Linked DNA regions of Diceros bicornis minor. Each later gene encodes a partner of the first gene's protein in a complex. Links are inferred from orthologs where the notes say so. Each region holds a gene or a part of one and is shown in the gene's direction. Other genes may lie near its edges.

The links. The genes of interacting proteins can lie anywhere in the genome.
Region 2: TUBGCP2 (region 1) and TUBGCP4 share a complex: the UniProt entries of both Homo sapiens proteins name them as parts of the gamma-tubulin ring complex. The link is inferred for Diceros bicornis minor from reciprocal best matches to the Homo sapiens genes TUBGCP2 and TUBGCP4.
Region 3: TUBGCP2 (region 1) and tubulin gamma-2 chain share a complex: the UniProt entries of both Homo sapiens proteins name them as parts of the gamma-tubulin ring complex. The link is inferred for Diceros bicornis minor from reciprocal best matches to the Homo sapiens genes TUBGCP2 and TUBG2.

What each region holds. Positions count from the first base shown.
Region 1 is NC_080745.1:95,367,531-95,371,276, reverse strand, and holds the start of TUBGCP2 (gamma-tubulin complex component 2), read left to right. Parts: upstream 1-1,006; 5' UTR 1,007-1,074; intron 1,075-3,746. Other genes in the region: ZNF511 (zinc finger protein 511), read right to left, coding at 1-52, 374-447, 798-950. UniProt on the Homo sapiens protein: Component of the gamma-tubulin ring complex (gTuRC) which mediates microtubule nucleation.
Region 2 is NC_080744.1:40,808,249-40,811,994, forward strand, and holds the start of TUBGCP4 (gamma-tubulin complex component 4), read left to right. Parts: upstream 1-1,019; 5' UTR 1,020-1,103; coding exon 1,104-1,466; intron 1,467-3,746. UniProt on the Homo sapiens protein: Component of the gamma-tubulin ring complex (gTuRC) which mediates microtubule nucleation.
Region 3 is NC_080757.1:41,714,615-41,718,360, forward strand, and holds the start of tubulin gamma-2 chain, read left to right. Parts: upstream 1-1,321; 5' UTR 1,322-1,507; coding exon 1,508-1,556; intron 1,557-1,809; coding exon 1,810-1,922; intron 1,923-2,104; coding exon 2,105-2,272; intron 2,273-2,586; coding exon 2,587-2,655; intron 2,656-2,998; coding exon 2,999-3,078; intron 3,079-3,479; coding exon 3,480-3,606; intron 3,607-3,746. UniProt on the Homo sapiens protein: Tubulin is the major constituent of microtubules, protein filaments consisting of alpha- and beta-tubulin heterodimers. Gamma-tubulin is a key component of the gamma-tubulin ring complex (gTuRC) which mediates microtubule nucleation.

The sequences.
Region 1 (3,746 bases):
GGCGTCGAACACCTGGCAGCAGCCCGCCACCTGACAGGTGAACTCGGGCACCCTGGCAAAAGAAACGGCCTCATGGGGACACCATTCCGCTGCTGACAAAAAACATCAAACTCCCTGTCGACAACTTCATTTTAAGTGACGCGATAGAGTTTTGAGTGTTTCTTTTACAACCCCAAATCCTACCCTGTTAAGAACTATATTTTCACACCAGCTAGGCGGTGGGGAGGCCAGCCTCTCCGGCGCGTACCGTGCAGGCAGGGGGCGCGGCGGCAGGTCCTCCCCACCTCCACCCCAGGGGTGGTCGGGAAGGGGAGGATGGGAGCCACGGGAAGGAGGCAGGGTGGGGTTGGGGGGCGAGAAGGGCCTCTCTCACCTGGGCTTCTCGGGCTCCCCGGCAACCTGCGTGAGCACGTCCTGGAGATAAAGGTGCCGCTGGACGTCCCCTTCCTGTAGAACACGCGCCGTGGGCTGAACCGGCACCTCGCAGCCCCGCCCAGCCGCAGCCCCGCCCCTCAGCCAGAGGCCCCGCTCCACCAGGCCCCACCCCCCACCCAGGCCCCGCCCCTCACCCGGAGGCGCCGCTCCACCAGGCTCCGCCCACGACCAAGGCCTCGCCCCTCAGCCAGAAGCCCCACTCCACCAAGCCCAGCCCCTGAGCCTCAGGGCCCGCCCCACGACCCAGGCCTCGCCCCTCAGCCGGAGGCTCCGCTCCACCAGACTCCGCCCACGGCCCAGGCCCCACCCCCGAGCCTCAGGCCCCGCCGCCGGACAACGGCCCTCGGCGTCGGCTCACGCACCTCGAAGAACTCATGCTCGCGCGGGAAGCGCACCAGGCGCGCCATGAAGCGGAAAGGCGCGGCCCCGGCCTTGGGGTTCCGCTCCACGGGCAGCGGCTCGGCCGCCCCAGGTGCCCCGGCGAGGCGGGCGTGCAGCGCGGGGGGCAGCTGCATCGCCGTGCGCGGCGGCGGCGCCACACTCTGTCAGCCACCGTCTGTGGGCCGGCCGGGGCGGGGCCGGACGTGACGTCGCGCCACTTCCGCCGCGGGCGCGGGCTGTGCGCGCGCGGGTCCTGCGGTGAGTCGGAGCCGGGGTCGGGGGGCCTGAGCCCGGGGGACTAGGGGTGGCGGGGTCCGAGTCTGGAGGGTAGGGGCCGGGGGGTGGCATGAGCCCTCTGCCCACCGGACGCCCGGCCGGCGCGGGGAGAGCTGGCCTCCGCGCTGTGGCGCCGCCGGCTCGGATCCGGAGCGGGTCTCTGTTCGCCGTCCGCCCCTGTGCGCGGCTGGCGCCCTCCCCCCGTCCCCGGTGCCGTCCCCCGTCCGCACCCCTTCTCTCCCGGCTGACGGGCTGCGGCCGCCTCTGGGCCAGGTCTCTGTGGAGACCTGAGTTGTCTCGTAACCCTTCGGTGGCTTCCCACTGCCCCGGTCCAGGGCCCGCCAGGCCCTGCTGTTTCCCGCCTGCCCATTGTCCCCCATCCCACCCCATCCTCTCCCGGCGCGGACAGGGCGCGGCGTGTAGAAGTAAGGTGGTCCCGCCGCTCCGGAGCCTGCAGCCCGGCAGGAGAGGCGGACGTCTAACTCGTGACACAGTTACCGAGTTAAATGGTGACGGGTGACGCGGAAGGGACGCAAGGATGCTTGAGCCCTATTGCGGAGGACGGCCGCAGGCCCGCTCGCCACTCCTCACGCCGAGTGGTTCCCGAGTGGTTCCGCACCGAGCAGACGCCGGGCGCGCATACGTGCAGTGGCAAGGGAAATGGGTTGCTGTTTCTCTAAGAAGTTAAAAATGTAACTTAAAAATATAATTAGAAACTTGCACTCACTTCATTTTGGAAGTAAAGGTTTGTGGCTACGTCCTCCACCGGTCATTTGCGTGCCTAAGAAGAGCTCTAGACAGACGCAGACTGTTTTTCATCTCTTATGCATTGATTTTCTGTCTCTGAGACAGCATTAGGCTCCTGACATTTTTCACACGTTTTAAAGTAATGTTCTTCAAGCCAGTTTGTCCAATTAGCTTTGAGCTCTTCAACAAAGAGTGCTTGTCACCTCCCTTTGTGTTTCAGTCAGATGTTCACAGGTGTGTGTGCCTGACTCGTGCATAGGTGTCGCTGCCTCCTTGCCCCTGCGCTGCCTCACACTCGTGTGAGGAGGAGATGGGTTCTGCTCAGTCGCCGAAGTCTGCGTCTGTCCACTTGTGGTGACTAACACAAGTCAAGAGCATCAAAAAGATCACGTGAGCCGCTGCAATTAAATGTTCCTCACAGCTGTTTTTAGGGGGTACGCTGTTGGCATTTTTGGTGGGACGTGTCTGTTGCTGTTTAACTTCCCTGGGCTCCTGCCCACTAAATACCAAGAGCACCCTTCCAGTCACTGTGACAACCAAAAGTTACCCCTATGCGTTTCCAGAGGTCCCCTGAGGGGAGGTGCTCCCTGCAGGGCAGAGCCAGAAATCTTGCAGGAATTGTTCCCCAAATCCACAGAGAACAGTGGACTCCTCCGAGGATTAATACTTGTGATGTGGGGTATCTGTGGTTTTATTTCTACTACAGTTGTGAAGATTCATGAAGATAGTTTTTAAGTAAATATTCACTTAGGTGATCTCTCTTCAGAAGAGCTCTCTCCGCCTGCTTGTATCTGGTGGAGGGGTGTTTTGTGTCCATGGTAAACGCAGCAGCATCCTTGCCAAGGTGGTCCTCAGGCCAGCCCTTACAGGACAACCCGCAGTCCTTAGGAAGCCTTTTGGAATGTGGGTCAATCTGGTTGCTCTTAGGTATGAAGAGGCTGGCAGTGGGAGAGTTCGTGTTTTCTTTTCTGTTTTCTGTGGTTTGTAGGGCCTCATTCAGGGCCCTGGGTGACTAGTAGGATAACCGATGGTTTCCGATGCTCTCAGTGATTCAGATCCAGTTTTCCTTTTGTAAAACCAACCATTTGTCAGGCAACAATGAACACTTGCAGTGGTTGGCTTTACGTGGTAATAGCAGCAGCACTTGTTCCTGCTTTTCTTTTGTGTGTGTGTGTGTGTGGAGGACCAGCCCTGAGCTAACATCTGCCAATTCTCCTTTTTTTTTTTGCTGAGGAAGACCGGCCCTGGGCTAACATCCGTGCCCACGTTCCTCTACTATATATGGGACACCACCACAGCATGGCTTAACAAGCGGTGCGTCGGTGCACGCCTGGGATTGAACCGGCAAATCCCGGGCCGCCGCAGCGGGGCGCGTGCACTTAACCGCTTGCGCCACCGGGCCGGCCCCCCCTGCTTTTCTAATAACACTAGTGCAAGAACTCAGTACACGCAGGCCCTGTGGTGCTTTATAAGACGATCAGTCTCCACAGCAGCTCTGTGGCTGGCGTTTACTACTCACCCCTTTCAGAGGAAGCTTTGAGAGGGCAAGCTCCTTGCCCAGGGCCCTCTGGCCTGGAAGTGGCCAAGTCAGGGTTCAGTCTGTCTGGGGTTCCACAGCCTGTGCCCTGCTGTGCCTGCGCCTGTAACTGTAGTTACTAGGAACACCTCCTGATTCACAAAGGACGTGCGCTAGTGACTTAATACACCAGCTGGTCCTTACTGCTGTGCTTTCCTCTTTGGAGACACCCTGCATCTGGCCAGTATTTGCTGTTTGTATACTGTGACACTGTGATGTTTACGTATGGAGAACTAGTTCTCCATCACACGAGGTTAGACTCTCACTTTCTCAGTGTAGAATTACAAATTAATGTGCATTGTTAGCATGTTGTGAGGGTGTGTGCTGAGTC
Region 2 (3,746 bases), on another chromosome or scaffold:
TCCCATGTCCTTGGAGAATCACCTGCAGATGAGTCTCCCTCTGTTAAGAAGAGTTTCTTCCTAGGGTAGAGAGAGATGGAACTATCAGAAGGAATATACTCATGTCTAAAGTCTTGCCAGATCTGGGCTGACTTCCCTTATGCTCTACGTGGCCACCTGAGGTAGCACCAACTTCAGGACAGCAAGGCAAAACAGCATGAAGGAGAGAGACCTTGCAAAAACTCCATTTCTGGGTGACTTTCAGGGCAGCCCCGGCAAGCAGCAGAGAATAGAAAGTACTGCCTGCTCCTCCTCCACCTCCCCCAAATCTGATCCCATTTTGCTCCCGTCACCAATGCTGCATAGTGAACCATATGGGAGACCTGGAGCTCGAAAGGATCTACAAGGAGGTCACCATCCTGCTGAAGGCAACAAAAAGCCTCTGTCCAGCGGGTCGCAGCTGATCTCCCCCAGTACCTCCGCAGTCCTTCCCGAGGCCCCTACGTCCGCCCCGGCCCCTCAGACTCCACAACTACCAATTCCCACCCCAGACGAAAATCAAGTACTGAATACTGGGTCTTTGTTTTCCCTCACAGCAGAAGTAACCGCTCGGCAAATATTCAGGAACTACTGACGGGAAACCTGGCGCATTGGGAGAAGTTGGTTTTGGCTCCCGAAGCGAGGGCCAGGTGGGCTCGGGGAGAGTCACTGAGGTCGTGGAGAGAGGAAGTCCGAGGGGGCAGTAGTAATGTGTCTCCTGAGGACGAGCTTGGGTGCTGGCCAGGGCTCCGAGCGCTGCGGGGTTCGCGAGCGCGGAGCTCAGCTCAAGGAACGGCGCGTGCGAGGTTCCGGCCTCTTTGTCTTCGCTCCCTCCGGCCAGGGCACTCTCGGAGCCATCGTGCAGTCCCTCCAGAGGCCTCCGACGGGGCTAAAGCGCCCTGAGAGCACCCTCCGGCTCACCCCTGGGAGCGTCTCCCTCTCGGGGTGTCCCTCAACCCGCTCACATCTCTGCCCCGGGGCCAGCCTCACCAACTCGGGGTCCGGCCCCAGCTCGGGCTCTACCAGCCTCCCAGTCCGGCTCCCAAACCGGAAGTCCGAGCGAGCGACTCGGGCGCTGACGGCGCATGCGCAAGGTCAGACACAGCGACTCCTCTCGTGTGGAGAGCCGGCGGCAGCGAGCGAGTGGGCCTAGCCGAGCGCCGCACACTTCCGGGACCCGGCGCGCCGACCTCTTCCCCGCTTCCCCTCCGCACCTCCAGCAGCAATTGTCTTGGCGGGTAGATTCGGGGGGAACCGCCCGTCCCAGGGGCTTGTGCGCGGGTCGGGAAGGGGCACTCGCCTCCGAGGTCTCCTGGAGAGGTGCTGGAGGAGGGGGCGGCGGATATAGTGACTCGAGGTCCGCCGTCGGAATGATCCACGAACTGCTCTTGGCTCTGAGCGGGTACCCAGGGTCCATTTTCACCTGGAACAAGCGTAATGGCCTCCAGGTACTGTCCGGCTCAGAGCGCGGGAACTAGCTAGTGCAGAATGGGTGGACCTGCCAATGCTTGGGGAGGAGTCTGAGGGACCGAGGGGGCGGGGCTTGCGGGGGCTGAGGCATTCGGGGGGCGTGTCCCTGGGCAGGTAACTGTAGGGCAGTGCCTGAGGAGCCTACGGGTGTTGTAGACACCCTGAGAAGGCTGGGCCTAGGCTGGGGAACGGAGGGCAGACCTCGACGGGCCATGCCTTCCGGGAGAAGGAGGGAGCCCGGGACCCGGCCTGAGGTGGAGGTGTCTGAAAGAGAGTGCCTGGGGAACTGGACGTAAAATGAGGGAGGCAGCTTCTCCCATTTTCACGTTTGCACTCTGTTTTAAACTGAGTTTTGAAAGCTAGTCCACATACATAGCGCTTAACACACAATAAAGGTTCAGCAAATTTCGTTGAATGAAAGAATAAATGAGAGTGTTTCCCTCATTACTCCTTTTCCAGGAAATTTCTGCACTAGGAGAATTTGGAAGGGGGCCTTCGTGTAACTAGGAATGTATGAAGAGGAAGGGCTATGTACCATATGCATTATCTCATTTAATCTTCACAATCACCTATCTCCATTTCACAGATTAACTCCCAGTGTCCGTGTAGCTAGTAATTTGCGAGCTTGATCTTGAACCCAGGTCTGTCTGGCTCCAGTATCTGAACTACTCTTTTCTACTTCTGCTTTCAGCAATGTTATCTAATTCTCAATAATTTAATAACTTAGGTATTGTTAGCCCCAGTTTACAAATGAGCAAACTGAAGCTCAGAGAACTTTATGGTAGCTAGTCCTAGTAATGGCAAGATTTGAATCTAGCTCTGTCTGATCACAAAATCATACCTTTTCCTATGAGAATTGGCAGTATAGGCTGTGGAAGAGCAGAAAAATTACATTCTTAGTCTATAAAATCTACCAATCAAATAGATTCCTCTGGTTATTGTTTATTTTCCCCCGCAAAACTAGCATAGTGCCAAGCAGATAGGAGGAAAATGTTCAGGAAGTATTTGTGGGTGCTTGAGTGTCTGAAGTAAAAGGAAATATCAGAGTATAGGAAAGATAGCTGCTTTCCTTTCTTATAAAAAGGTCTCAATCAGATATTTTCCTCCTCAAGATCTCAGCTTTAAAGTCACCTCCTCAGAAAAGCTTTCTCTGACCACCTCTTTGAGTATCCTCCCCATATTGCCATTATTCTCTATCACAGAAACTTGTTTGTTTCCCTTATAGGACTTAGCACAATTCATATTATTTATTGTTGTTACTTGTTTATAGTCTTTTTCTCACATAGATTGCTCACGGGGGCAAAGACCACAGTGGTCTTTACTGATCTACCCAGAGCACCCAGCACAATTTCTGCCACGTAGTAGGTGTTCAGATATTTGTAGAAGAAAAGAAGATCACCAAAACCAGCAAATGTTACATACTTTCTGCAGAGAAGTATTTTTCACATTCGAATAAAGGGAAAAGTTGTCAGGAATGCCCAATGTTGATCAAAATCATCTTATTGTAATACTGAATATGTATACACATTAAGCTAAGTATAAAATCAAACATATAGCTCTTAAATAACTATAAAAAGAAATATTTTTACAAAGTAAACAGAACTACCCAATCGATAACTTCAAATTAACATTAACCTAATGCAGAGTTTCTCAACCTTGGCAGTGTTGACATTTTGGACTGGATAATTAATTCTTTGTTGTGGGGGGGGGTGGGCCTGTGCGTTGTAGGATGTTCCGCAGCATCTGTGGTCTCTACTCACCAGATGCCAGTAGTACTCCCCAAGTTGTGGCAACCCAAAAATATCTCCAGACATTACTGAATGACCCTTGGGGGCAGAATTGCCCCTGATTGAGAACCACTGATCTGATTAACATATATTATTGTTTTGCTGAAACTAAATCGCCAACAATTGAGTTTAATAAAGACCTTGCTACAGATCTGGTTCTGTATTTTCTATTTTTTTTTTCCCTTTTTCTCCCCAAAGCCCCAGTAGATAGTTGTATGTCATAGCTGCACATCCTTCCAGTTGCTGTATGTGGGACGCCGCCTCAGCATGGCTGGACAAGCGGAGCGTCAGTGCGCGCCTGGGATCCGCACCCAGGCCCCCAGTAGCAGAGCGCGCACGCTTAACTGCTAAGCCACGGGCCGGCCCCTGTATTTTCTATTTTGACTTCAGTAACACTAATGTAGAGAGTGCTTGTTAATATAAGTAGCTTGTACCAAATGGTATCAGTAACATTAAAGTATTGTTTGCTGT
Region 3 (3,746 bases), on another chromosome or scaffold:
AATAAAACAGAAACCACAATGAGATACTACTTCACACTCATTAAGATGGCTATTATTAAAACAACAACAACAACCACCCAGAAAGTAATAAGTGTTGACAAGCATATGGAGAAATTGGAACCCTTGTGCATTGCTGTTAGAAATGTAAAATGGTGCAGCTGCTGTGGAAAATGATACAACAATTCCTCAAAAAATTAAACATAGAATTACCATATGATCTAGCAATTCTACTTCTGGGTATATACCCAGAAGAATTTAAAGCAGGGACTCAAACAGATCTTTGTACATAGATGTTCATAGCAGCATTATTCACAATAGCCAACTGGTGGAAGCAACCTCATGGTCCATCAATAGACGAATAAGGGTAAACAAAATGTGGTATATACATACAAGGGAATATTATACAGCCTTAAAAAGGAATGAAATTCTGACACATGCTACAACATGGAGTAACCTTGAGGACTTTATGCTAAGTGAAATAAGCCAGACACAAAAGGACAAATAATGTATACTGTATGATTCCACAGTATATGGAAGGCACCTAGAGTAGTCAGATTCATGGAAACAAAGTAGAATGGTGATGGGGGGCAGTTACTGTTTAATAGGTACAGAGTTTCAGTTTGGGAAAATGACAAAGTTCTGGAGATGAATGGTGGTAACGGTGGCAGAACAATGCATATGTACCTAATGCCACAGAACTGTACACTTAAAAATGGTTAAAATGGGGCCCAGCCTGATGGCATAGCGGTGGCATAGCTGTTAAGTTTGCACATTCTGCTTGGTCGGCCGGGGTTCCCCGCTTGGGATCCTGGGCACGGACCTACTCACCACTCATCAAGCCATGCTGTGGCTGCGTCCTACAGAGAAGAACTGGAAGGACCTACAACTAGGTTATACAACTATGTGCTAAGGCTTTGGGGAGAAAAAAGAAAAAGAGGAAGATTGGCAACAGATGTTAGCTCAGGGCCACTCTTACTTAAAAAAAAAAGTTAAGCATCCTTTATTAAAAAAAATGGTTAAAATGGTAAATTTTGTTAGATATATTTAATTTAAAAATAGAAATTTAAAAGAAGAAAATTGGCTCCAGCAGAGCCAGCGGAGTAGCTCACCTATATATATAGCGCCACTGACTCCATACACCTGGGCCTCTCTCCCCCCCCACCCCCGCTCCCCTCCCCTCCCCCACACCCGGGTCGCTACTCTGCAACCCCGGCAAGTCTCACCGCGCAGGCGCGGAGCTGGGGTGGGCGGGCAGGAGGGGGCGTGGCCTTCCTCTGCGCCTGTGCCGAATTCCAGCTGCAACTGCTGTGGGGGAAATGATGCCCAGGTTGGGCTCCGCGGCCCCCCGGTCGCGGGGAGGCCCGCACTGCACACGCGCAGACCGAGCACCCGCGTCAAAAGGCGAAGAGCGCGCGCTCTCCCCACGTCTTGCGCACCCGGCTGCTAGGCGTTCGTCTGGGCCGTGACTCCCGCCGGGCCAGGCTGGCGCGCCCACGTCTGGAGAGCGATGCCCCGGGAGATCATCACCCTGCAGCTGGGCCAGTGCGGCAACCAGAGTGAGCAAGCGAGCGGCGGGCCCCTCCAGTCTCCGGTTCTGCCTCTTCGGGTCCCACCCAAGTGCTTGGCATCCTCCAGTCCCCCTTTCCCTTCCATGAACCCCCTGCCGTAACTGCGCATGATGAATGAGCCCCAGACTGAGAGCCGCGCCTCCAGCCCTGGGCTGTGACGGCTCGCAGACCAGGCGTCTTGGGTGCAGCCTCTGAGTGTGACAGCCTAACCCTGACTCAGGCATCTCTTCCCATCCCCCAGTTGGGTTCGAGTTCTGGAAACAACTGTGCGCCGAGCATGGTATCAGCCCCGAGGGCATCGTGGAGGAGTTTGCCACCGAGGGCACTGACCGCAAGGACGTCTTTTTCTACCAGGTGCCCCCAGCGACTTGGCCAGGGGTCCTAAAGGGAAGGCAGCGGCCTGGTGCTGGGAAACCTGCTGGGCAGAGAAGCCAGGGCGGCTGGCTTGAGGAGGGAGGGCAGGCAGGAGCCAGAGCTGGGAGGACGGGGGCCTTGGCCTTAGCTGATTGGGCCCCCTCCTGGACTCCCCATGACAGGCAGACGATGAGCACTACATCCCCAGGGCCGTGCTGCTGGACCTGGAGCCCCGGGTGATCCACTCCATCCTCAACTCCCCCTATGCCAAGCTCTACAACCCAGAGAACATCTACCTGTCAGAGCATGGAGGAGGGGCTGGCAACAACTGGGCCAGCGGATTCTCCCAGGTATCCAGATGGCCATCTCAGAGACCCTTGATGTTCCCTCCCCTGGACAAGGCAGGCTCAAGCAGCCTGGGGATTTGACCAGACCAGACTGACAATAAATAAGAGACAAAGGGATACCCTAACAAGAGGGATAGCCAGGGAGTTTATGCAAACTTTGTGCAAATCATTTACAAAGTAGCATTTCTGGTTTGAGGGCTCCTGCTGAGGCTCTGCTTGAGGACAGCAGCAGTGCCCCAGGGTAGCGTTCTTGGTGCTAAAAAGAGATGCTCTCCAGAGACTTCATCCTGACCCTCCCTCCCCATGTCTCTATACAGGGTGAGAAAATCCATGAAGACATTTTTGACATCATAGACCGAGAAGCAGATGGAAGTGACAGCCTAGAGGTGAGGTTCTGCCCACTGAAGAAAAAAAAAAGGCTGAAAAGTGCTGGGGAAGGTCAGGTAGTAGGCTGAATGGGTGGTGTGATGGGGGCAATTCGATTCCAAACTCATTTATTGAGCATCAGATGTGAGATATCGGGGTAAATAAGGTACAGTTGTCATCAAGGAGATCCTAGTCTGGATGGCATCAGCTCCTTAGGCATGAGCCTTCCTTCCCAAGGAGCCTCAGCCTGGATGGATACACAGGAAGCCTTGAAACATGAGTGTGTTGGGAGTGGGAAGGAGACAAGCCTGAAGCATCTTCCCCAGATCCCTGGAGACTGCCTCTCTGTCCCTCTCTATGCAGGGCTTCGTGCTGTGTCACTCCATTGCTGGGGGGACAGGTTCTGGCCTGGGCTCCTACCTCCTCGAACGACTGAATGATAGGTAAGCCTGTGTTTGGGGAGAAGGCATTAGCCCTAGTTCTCTAGGTAATGTTTTTCCTTTTGGTTACTTTTTTCTCTTGGATTGGAAGGTCTGCCACTACCCCTTTGAGTCATAGGTAGGATCAGAGCCTGGCTACCCAGGGAACATCTTGGAAGCAATAACTCTGGGGAGAGAGGTTTGCCTAGGGAAGGAGGAGACCTACAGAGTGAATCTTTAGGCTTATCCTTTTTGGCTCCTGGGCTCTGAAGACTCAGTTCTGCCCTCACCCCTTTTGCATAAGAGCTTGGTGGCACTTGGAAAGGAATGGCCCCTGTAGACCCTAGAGAAGGCAGAGATGGGCAGTGATGGGGGGCCTTCCAATTCACTGTGCCACCTTCCCTTTCGCTCTTCCTCACCCCCAGGTACCCCAAGAAGCTGGTGCAGACGTACTCAGTGTTTCCCAACCAGGATGAGATGAGCGACGTGGTGGTCCAGCCCTACAACTCGCTGCTCACACTCAAGAGGCTGACCCAGAACGCAGACTGTGTGGTGAGCATAGGAGGAGGGAGTGGGGGGCTTTTCCCCAAACCAGTGAGACACATACACCCTGCCCTTCCCAAGCCCCTGCCCAGAGAACAAAGGACCAACAAAGCCATACCTGATGGCCCAAGTTATGAAATAAGGACCTG